Linked DNA regions of Saccharomyces cerevisiae S288C. The protein of the gene in region 2 interacts with the protein of the main gene of each other region in a pairwise test. Each region holds a gene or a part of one and is shown on either strand. Other genes may lie near its edges.

Region 1 (4,989 bases), 890 kb from region 2:
AAGCAATGACATCCTTGTCCTGTTCAATTAATTCGGCTAACCTGTACAAAGCCTTACCCCTGTCAATAGGGTCGATACCGTTCCAAGACCCATTAGAGAAGGCACGGTCGGCGGCCTGCACGGCCTCTTCCACATCGTCCTCTCTACCTTCATAAATATGACATATTTCTTCTTCCGTGGAAGGGTTAATGACTTCGAAGGTCTTGTTCTGTTTAGAAGGAACAAACTTGTTGTTGATGAACAACCCCGTTGGTTGCTCATATTCCAACCCATTGGGCAGCTTGATAGGCACTGTCATAGGAAGGTGTGAGAAATATCTCAATTGAAGTCTCCCAATGGAGGATGCAGACGTCTTTAAGCAGAGCGTAGATCTACTGAACATGCTTTATTTATTTTTGTTATTGTAGTTTTCTTGGTTGGTTTTCCAGATACTTCTAATCCTAACACCCAAGAATTTTTGAGGAAAGGAGAGTGAAGTCAATTGTCACCGACAAACCCCCCCCATTTATATAACCGCCGAACTTCCATTTTCATTACAAATTTCTCCTCATTCTGCTTACCTACACCCGCCCCTCATTTTCCATCTCTGTTGGAGTTGGAGAAAAAGATACCTGTGGACGGAAGTCCCGCATCGCTGGATAACAGCCGTACCGTCGCCCGGGCGGGGAATCATACCAGCAAACAAAAATGAGGGGGAAATGACATCATGTGCGGACGGTACTAAAGGATCAAAAGAATGAATGAATGAATTGTTACACAAAACGGTGAAATTGTTACATACATTTACTAATTACATACATTTTTAGTACTGCGTACGGGTATAGTTATGGGGTTACAGATTCGTGGCAGTTGGGGCAGGAGTGTCATCTAACCAGAGGGTCGCCAGGGCGGGACATTGCTGCTGGCAGAGGCCAGCAAGCTGGAGCAACTGCCGGTAATGCAAGCTCGTGCTGGCGCGATCGTGGCGTGGTGTCGTGATTGGGTTATTTCGTAGATCAAGAAATTTTACTGATTGGCGTGGGAGAGTTTTTGTTAACTTGTGTGCGTTTTGTAGGTTGTTGCCTGGCAGATGTAGCTCTTGCAAGAACGGTAGTTCCTTGGAGAGGTCCACTGGTAAGTGTGTGAAGTCTCTAACATTAGCTATAGTTAGAGAATATAAGTTGGTGGATTTTAGAGAAGAGAATCGCGGCAAAGAGGAGGCCAGGCCGCCGTTGATCTCCAGAATTTGCAAAGTGGCAGGCCATTTTTGCCATTTGCTAAGTTGAGCGAAGCCGTCCAGTTTTAGAATCTTTAGATTTTGGTAGGGGAACGTGAATTGATCATCCAACTTGTAATTTTGTAATTTGGATAGCGCGCCTCCTGTATTTTTGATGGAAAGCGCTCTCAACGTTCCGTTCTCCATCTTAGAAGATTCCACGATGGAAACTAGCGGGTTACCATTGAGGTTTAAAACCTTCAGGCGGGGCAAGCAATTGATGTTTCTTACGCCAATTATGTTATTGTTGCTTAGATCTAAGACTTCCACGGTCAACCAGCCGCCCACGACAGAGTTGTTTGTTAGTATCAATTGTTCGAAATCGATGATACCATTAATCTCGTTGTTAGAAAGGTTCAGTTTTTTCATCCTGGAGGATCCTATCCCTTCTAAGGATTGGATGGAGTTGTAAGAAAGGTTCACCTCTTGCAGGTGATGACAAAGTGACAAAAATTTTAAACTTGTATTCAAGAGGTTGTACGATAAGTCGAGGCATTCCAGATCGTGGAATCCGGCTAATGAACAATGTGCGCTCGTTATTTTGTTGTTTGAACAAAATAGCTGTACAACGTTCGAGGGTATACCTTCTAGAGTGTTCATTTCATTGTCACTAAGGTTTAGCACTAATACATTCGGTAGTAGTCTTTGCATGCCAAACATATTCTTCAGTTTGCCCCTTGATAGGTCAACTTTCAGGATTTTTTCCCAATCGGAATCATAGCTTGGAGAACCAGATAGTTTACTAGTCAAGATTGATATTAGCTGCTTTTCAGTTTCGTTGAACGAGGTGTTTACTTCGGAAATGGACGTAATATCTTCAACCCGTTCAGCGGGGAAGGTCTTTAGTTTCTTGTGAGCTTCTAGTAGATTGGAATTAGAGATTGAACGAGAGGTACGCATTTGTCCTTTAACCTTCGCTCTAGTGCCATTTTTCGTAAAAAGGTCATTAAATTTTGGTGTGTCTAGGGGCGTGTCATCGCTATTTGCTAGATTTTCTTCTTCTTGTATTTTCTTTTGGCGGTAGCCAACATCACCTGGTTTGGTACTGGTTAATTCATACGCCTTCTTATCTAGAATTGAAGGTGCCTTACCGTTAGTGTGATTATCTCCAGTTGGTACCATTGTGGCGAACTGGGACTGGTTGGAAGATGTATTGTCCAGAGAATGTGAACTCGACACATCTAAGCCCTGGTTCAGCGGCGGATCCCATGCGCCGTGTGTATGGTTAAACTGATATCCCAATTGACCGGGTGAAATAGTGTTCAATGGAGGTTTCTTGAGAACTTTTGATTTTCTGCCTGATTGAGTTTGAGAGGACGACATGGATGACGATGATGAAAATTCAAAAGAATTGGAAGTGTCCTCTTCGTCCTCCTCCTTCGTTCTAGCGTTATCCTTATTATTAATATTAATACTATTATTATTATTATTATTATTATTATTATTATTGTTTTTGTTGTTGCTATTACTTGGATAAGAACCCACCAAATAATTCGATTTTTGCTTTTGTAATATGCCATCAAATACATCATGTGCCTCAGCTGCTGGGCCAGAATCGCTGTCATCAGAAAACGACGATGAGACCTTCTCAGCGTTAAAGAAATCTTTAGAATGTGAAATACTAATCGTATCATGGTTTTCATGGGTCTGCATAGTAGTAGTTTTATTCTTCATATCTAAATGTCTTTTAAATGTATTTGTTTCAAGAACTCCAGATAAATCCTTAACCAAGTCGCTCACAATGAGATCCGATTCAGGAACTTTGTTTGCAGTACCAACAGCGCCACCAAAGTTGGTACCACCGCCGCTACCAATACCAGGGAAATACTGCTTCCATTGAGCTTCTTGATGAGATGTAGCAGTCGTGCCTGAAAAACCTGACGGCACTTTCTGATGCACCGTGCTATAGTTGTTCAAAACTGTCATTGTAGGAGGTTTTTTGACAGAATCGGATATTGCAGGTTCCACAACTTGGGAAGTAAAATTTGAATCTTGAAAATCGTGGTTACTTTCATATTCCTTAAACACTTTACCACTGTTACTGTGCGCGTTCGAGCGTAGCTTTCGTGGTGAATTTATTGTAAGATTCTCCAGCTGGCTCGATAGTTCTGCCTCCTGCGTATCCATATCCATTTCGGTATGCTTTTACTATTCAACCTAGTCGGCAATTTTTTCACCTGAATATTGTTGAACACTTCTGGCATCCTAGATACTCATCTGTATTTATTCATTATCTGTTGTGCATCGTTAATAGCATTCCAGTAAACAAGTTTAGGTCACTACCCGCATAAGCCTTTTGGCGTTTGGCGTAACCCTCCTCGCGAAAAGAAACGGGACGCAAAAAAAAAAAACAACAAAACAAGAACAAAACAAAACAAATAGGACAGAGCCTTAAGGAGCTGCAAGGATCTTCTGAATATTTGGCATCGGCATTGTGGGTGGAAAAAGTGTCCAAATTGGAATAAATTGGTCAGAATAGAGCATTGATTCCAACTATGGACAGAGATATAAGCTACCAGCAAAATTATACCTCAACTGGGGCAACTGCAACTTCCTCAAGACAGCCCTCTACGGACAATAATGCAGATACAAATTTTTTGAAGGTAATGTCAGAATTCAAATATAATTTTAACAGTCCGTTACCTACAACGACTCAATTCCCCACGCCCTATTCTTCTAATCAGTATCAACAGACTCAAGATCATTTTGCCAATACAGACGCTCACAACAGTTCGAGCAACGAATCGTCGTTGGTAGAGAACAGTATATTACCGCATCATCAGCAGATACAACAGCAACAACAACAACAACAACAACAACAACAACAACAGCAAGCTCTAGGTTCACTTGTACCTCCTGCTGTCACAAGGACAGATACAAGTGAGACTTTGGACGATATCAACGTTCAACCTTCTTCTGTTTTGCAGTTCGGCAACTCTTTACCCAGCGAATTTTTGGTTGCATCCCCAGAGCAATTCAAAGAATTTTTGTTGGACTCTCCGTCCACCAATTTCAATTTCTTTCACAAAACTCCGGCAAAGACACCACTTCGATTTGTAACAGATTCTAACGGTGCTCAGCAAAGCACCACAGAGAACCCAGGTCAACAACAGAATGTTTTTAGCAATGTCGATTTGAACAATCTTTTGAAGAGTAATGGAAAAACACCCTCATCTTCATGCACCGGCGCATTTTCACGCACTCCTCTGAGTAAGATTGACATGAATCTCATGTTCAATCAACCGCTGCCGACATCTCCATCAAAAAGGTTCTCCTCCCTGTCGTTGACACCATATGGAAGAAAAATTCTGAATGACGTCGGTACACCTTATGCAAAAGCATTGATATCGTCTAACAGCGCGTTAGTGGATTTTCAGAAGGCAAGAAAGGATATTACCACTAATGCAACATCCATAGGGCTGGAAAATGCCAACAACATCTTACAGAGAACGCCGCTAAGATCTAACAATAAAAAATTATTTATTAAAACCCCCCAGGATACCATCAATAGCACTAGCACACTAACTAAGGACAACGAAAATAAACAGGACATATACGGCTCTTCACCGACTACCATCCAATTAAATTCATCAATAACTAAATCTATCTCCAAATTGGATAACTCTAGAATTCCCTTGTTAGCTTCGAGATCAGATAACATTCTGGATTCCAATGTGGATGACCAATTGTTTGATTTGGGGTTGACAAGATTACCTTTATCACCAACACCAAAT
Region 2 (4,576 bases):
GATTCTGGGATAGAGATCATACTTGACTGTTCTTTTGATGAGTTAATGAACGACAAGGAAATAGTAAGCTTGTCTAACCAGGTCACCAGGGCATACTCCGCGAATAGAAGGGCGAACCATTTTGCAGAAATAAAGGTGGCCCCATTCGACAAAAGACTAAAGCAAAGGTTTGAAACTACTCTGAAAAATACCAATTATGAAAACTGGAACCATTTTAAATTCCTACCAGACGACAAAATCATGTTTGGAGATGAGCATATAAGTAAGGACAAAATAGTGTATTTAACGGCCGATACAGAGGAAAAGCTGGAGAAGCTGGAACCCGGGATGCGATACATTGTTGGCGGCATTGTAGACAAGAATCGTTATAAAGAATTGTGTCTGAAGAAGGCCCAAAAGATGGGCATTCCTACGCGAAGATTGCCCATTGACGAGTACATCAATCTCGAAGGCAGAAGAGTGTTGACGACAACGCACGTCGTGCAACTCATGCTGAAATACTTTGATGACCATAACTGGAAAAATGCCTTTGAAAGCGTTTTACCACCCAGAAAGCTGGATGCGGAAGCAAAATCCGCAAGCTCTTCGCCAGCTCCAAAGGACACATAGGCAGCCATCACTGTAGTATTATTAGTAACTGAATAGCAAAATAGTAATAGTCTCCGTAGCTACAATAGGTGTATATTGATGTCAGAGATACGGGTTAAACATGCGCAACTGGTAGTAGTTCTTCAAAGGGTGTTTATGCTTATCATAGTACTTGGACATTAGCCGCCGAAACTGGCTCCACTCGAAATCTAAATGGCATTCCCTTTTTAATATTAACAACACCAATCTTAGTGTCCGAGAGGTCCAAATCTAATGTAGGGCCGTGGGAGGATACTTCTTATTTCTCTTTGCTTATTTTGCTTTGATGTTGTATGTGTTTTACCTGTAAATTCTCTAATATGGTCATTTTTGCTCTTAATGACTCTTTTATTTTTACCCGGATTGCAATTTTTCACATATCGTCTTTTTATTCACTACGTACTTTAATCGTCTTCGCGATGATATGTACTGCTAACGAAAGAATGCCATACAAAAAAAAAGCTACCACATCGCTCGACGACCTCAATTATGCAACTTGTGCCGCTAGAATTGAATAGATCCACTCTAAGTGGGATATCTGGGTCCATCTCCATCTCCTGCTGGATCATTGTGTTTGTCCCTCAAATTTACGAGAACTTTTACCGGAAGTCGTCTGATGGGCTGTCTTTATTGTTCGTGGTACTTTGGTTGGCCGGCGATGTCTTTAACCTTATGGGTGCCGTTATGCAACATCTTTTGTCTACCATGATCATTCTTGCTGCTTACTATACGGTGGCAGATATCATTTTACTAGGTCAATGTCTATGGTACGATAATGAGGAAAAACCAGCAGTAGACCCTATTCATCTCTCCCCTGCCAATCCAATAAACGAAAACGTTCTGCACGATGTGTTCAATGAACAACAACCGCTTTTGAATTCCCAAGGTCAGCCAAATCGTATTGATGAAGAAATGGCTGCTCCTTCATCCGACGGAAACGCTGGTGATGATAATCTCCGTGAAGTCAATTCAAGAAATTTGATAAAAGACATATTTATTGTTAGTGGTGTAGTTTTTGTAGGTTTCATCTCGTGGTATGTAACCTACTGCGTAAACTACACGCAACCTCCTCCCGTGGAGGATCCATCACTGCCTGTTCCCGAACTGCAGATCAATTGGATGGCTCAGATATTCGGTTACTTAAGTGCCCTTTTGTATCTGGGTTCAAGAATTCCTCAGATATTACTGAATTTTAAGAGAAAGTCTTGTGAAGGTATCAGTTTCCTATTCTTTTTGTTCGCCTGTTTGGGTAATACCACATTTATTTTCTCTGTGATTGTCATTTCTTTAGACTGGAAGTATCTAATTATGAATGCTTCCTGGTTGGTTGGAAGCATAGGTACTTTATTCATGGATTTCGTCATATTTTCCCAGTTTTTCATTTACAAAAGAAATAAAAAATTTATACTGAATTAACATGTTCTATCTAATATTTATTTAACATATTTTTGACCTCACAAACTTTTTTTTTTTTTCTCTCTGTCATTGACATTTTTTTAATGTCACAAAAAGAAAAATTAAATGTATTATAAAATTTCATTTAAATAGGAAAAAACCCGTGATTACTAAAGGCATATTAAAGATCTATTAAAGATCTATTAAAGCTTTCTGCTACCAGTATGGATAATATTTTAAAGGCATCAAATATGGAAGGGACTTCAACAATGACAGTTACCTCGCGTAGTTCTGAAGACTCTAGTTGTATCTCAAATCATGAACAAGATACCGATACACATAAGGACGGCGACACAAGTGGTCTGGAAAACAGTAAAATTTCGAAGAGAAAGTGGATGAAAGAGTTTTTTAAACTTTCCAAATCTCCAGCTTCCAAAAGCAGCCGGAGTATAGGTTCCATGAAAAGTAACCAGAGCCTCGTTTCAATGAAAAGTAGTGACGATGGCAACAGTTATAAAAATGATTACTCTTCTATCTGTGGTAACAGCCTTCCATCTGCAGGCTTGAGTCGTTCGAATAGTGTGAAAGAATTAAAATTAGATTCAACTGGAAGTCAGAGATCAAAAAATAATGTTGCCATGTTAGCACGTTCTTCTACAACATCTCAGACAACGTGCTCTTCTTCTTCATCATCATCTTCTTATAACTCTATAAAAGGAAATGAAAATGATATTTTATTGCAGAATAACAATCACTTTAGGCATAACAAAGAAATTCCTCAAAGTAAAGGGAGCTCCAACATTAACACCGCATCGATTATGAGCCAATACAATGTCGATACGCAAGCAACCGCTATAATGAGCGATATGCAAAAGCAATACGACTCGCAACAGATGACATCACCATTTGTAAACGAAGACTTGCATTTCGATCCAAATGGTGAAGTTTCACACGTAATAAAAGCAATTTTTAAAGAAATTGGTTATAAATACGATGATTTCAGTGATATTCCTGTTTTTCAATTAATGCAAGAAATGTATCAACTAGTGAAGAAGAATTCCAGCGCTAGAAGAACAAAGATAACAGACTATGCCTCTAAACTTAAAGAAAAAGAAGCGCAATTAAAAAGTCAAAATGACAAAATTTTGAAGTTAGAAACAACAAACAAGGCCTACAAAACTAAATACAAGGAGGTCTCTCTGGAAAATAAGAAAATAAAAGAGGCTTTCAAAGAACTAGACAATGAGTCATACAATCACGATGAGGAATTACTAAAAAAATACAAATATACTAGGGAAACCTTAGATAGGGTCAATAGAGAACAGCAATTAATCATTGATCAAAACGAGTTTTTGAAGAAAAGTGTCAATGAACTACAAAATGAGGTTAATGCTACCAACTTCAAGTTCTCTTTATTTAAAGAAAAATATGCAAAATTAGCTGATAGCATCACTGAATTGAATACCTCTACGAAAAAAAGAGAGGCCCTGGGAGAAAACTTAACTTTTGAATGCAATGAATTAAAAGAAATATGTTTGAAATACAAAAAAAACATCGAAAATATATCAAATACCAATAAGAATTTACAAAATTCGTTCAAAAATGAAAGGAAAAAAGTTTTAGATTTGAGAAATGAGAGAAATTTGTTGAAAAAGGAAATACTGTTGATTGAATGTCATGGTTCATATTCTCTACTCCTTGTATCTAATATTCTGACATGTTATCGGTTCTTACTGCCAAGTGATACTATTATTGAAACTGAAAGCTTAATTAAGGAGCTACTCAACATGAATAATTCACTTTCGAACCATGTGTCTTCTTCTGACGAGCCTCCAGCGGAGTACTCGAAAAGATTAGAATTAAAATGTGTAGAGTTTGAGGAAAAGTTACTTTATTTCTATCAAGAACTTGTGACGAAGAAAATTATAGACGTCATTTACAAGTGCTTTATTAATTATTACAAGAAAAGTAGGCAAACTGACCAAAAATCCAATCAGAACTCCAGCACTCCGTATAAACAAAGCCAAAGACAAGTTCCGCACTCCATCAAGTGAACCTCAACAGCTACACATTCTTTTATAATCCTTAATATTCTATATATACATATATGAAAAAATAGAAAACGCGAAAACTTGTCATTTTTTTTTTAGGCGTTTTTATAATATACTGAAAATAAAAAGAGGCTCTTTAAATGTTGACACTCTACTCCAATATCAACTGTAAAAAATCTCTTTATCTGCTGACCTAACATCAAAATCCTCAGATTAAAAGTATGTCCTCCACTAGGCCAGAGCTAAAATTCTCTGATGTATCAGAGGAGAGAAACTTCTATAAGAAGTATACAGGGTTGCCGAAGAAACCATTAAAAACCATTAGATTAGTGGATAAAGGCGACTATTACACAGTTATAGGTTCAGATGCGATATTTGTGGCAGATTCAGTCTATCATACTCAATCTGTTTTAAAGAACTGCCAATTGGACCCTGTAACGGCAAAGAACTTCCATGAACCAACTAAATATGTTACTGTTTCGCTACAAGTTCTTGCCACTCTG

The links. Proteins that work in one complex are often made in the same cells at the same time.
Region 1: the proteins of SPO21 (region 2) and NUD1 interact in binary tests that used the Saccharomyces cerevisiae proteins (3 or more experiments, as listed by UniProt).

Annotation. Positions count from the first base shown.
Region 1 is NC_001147.6:1,035,233-1,040,221, reverse strand, and holds NUD1 (Nud1p), read right to left. Parts: upstream 3,389-4,989; coding exon 833-3,388; downstream 1-832. Other genes in the region: aldehyde dehydrogenase (NADP(+)) ALD4, read right to left, coding at 1-382; NDD1 (Ndd1p), read left to right, coding at 3,751-4,989. UniProt on the Saccharomyces cerevisiae protein: Involved in astral microtubule organization by binding SCP72 to the outer plaque in a cell-cycle dependent manner. Required for the mitotic exit by facilitating the binding of TEMP1 to CDC15.
Region 2 is NC_001147.6:143,088-147,663, forward strand, and holds SPO21 (Spo21p), read left to right. Parts: upstream 1-2,246; coding exon 2,247-4,076; downstream 4,077-4,576. Other genes in the region: TRM10 (tRNA (guanine(9)-N(1))-methyltransferase), read left to right, coding at 1-609; YPQ1 (cationic amino acid transporter), read left to right, coding at 1,117-2,043; mismatch repair ATPase MSH2, read left to right, coding at 4,295-4,576. UniProt on the Saccharomyces cerevisiae protein: Involved in the pathway that organizes the shaping and sizing of the prospore membrane (PSM) during sporulation.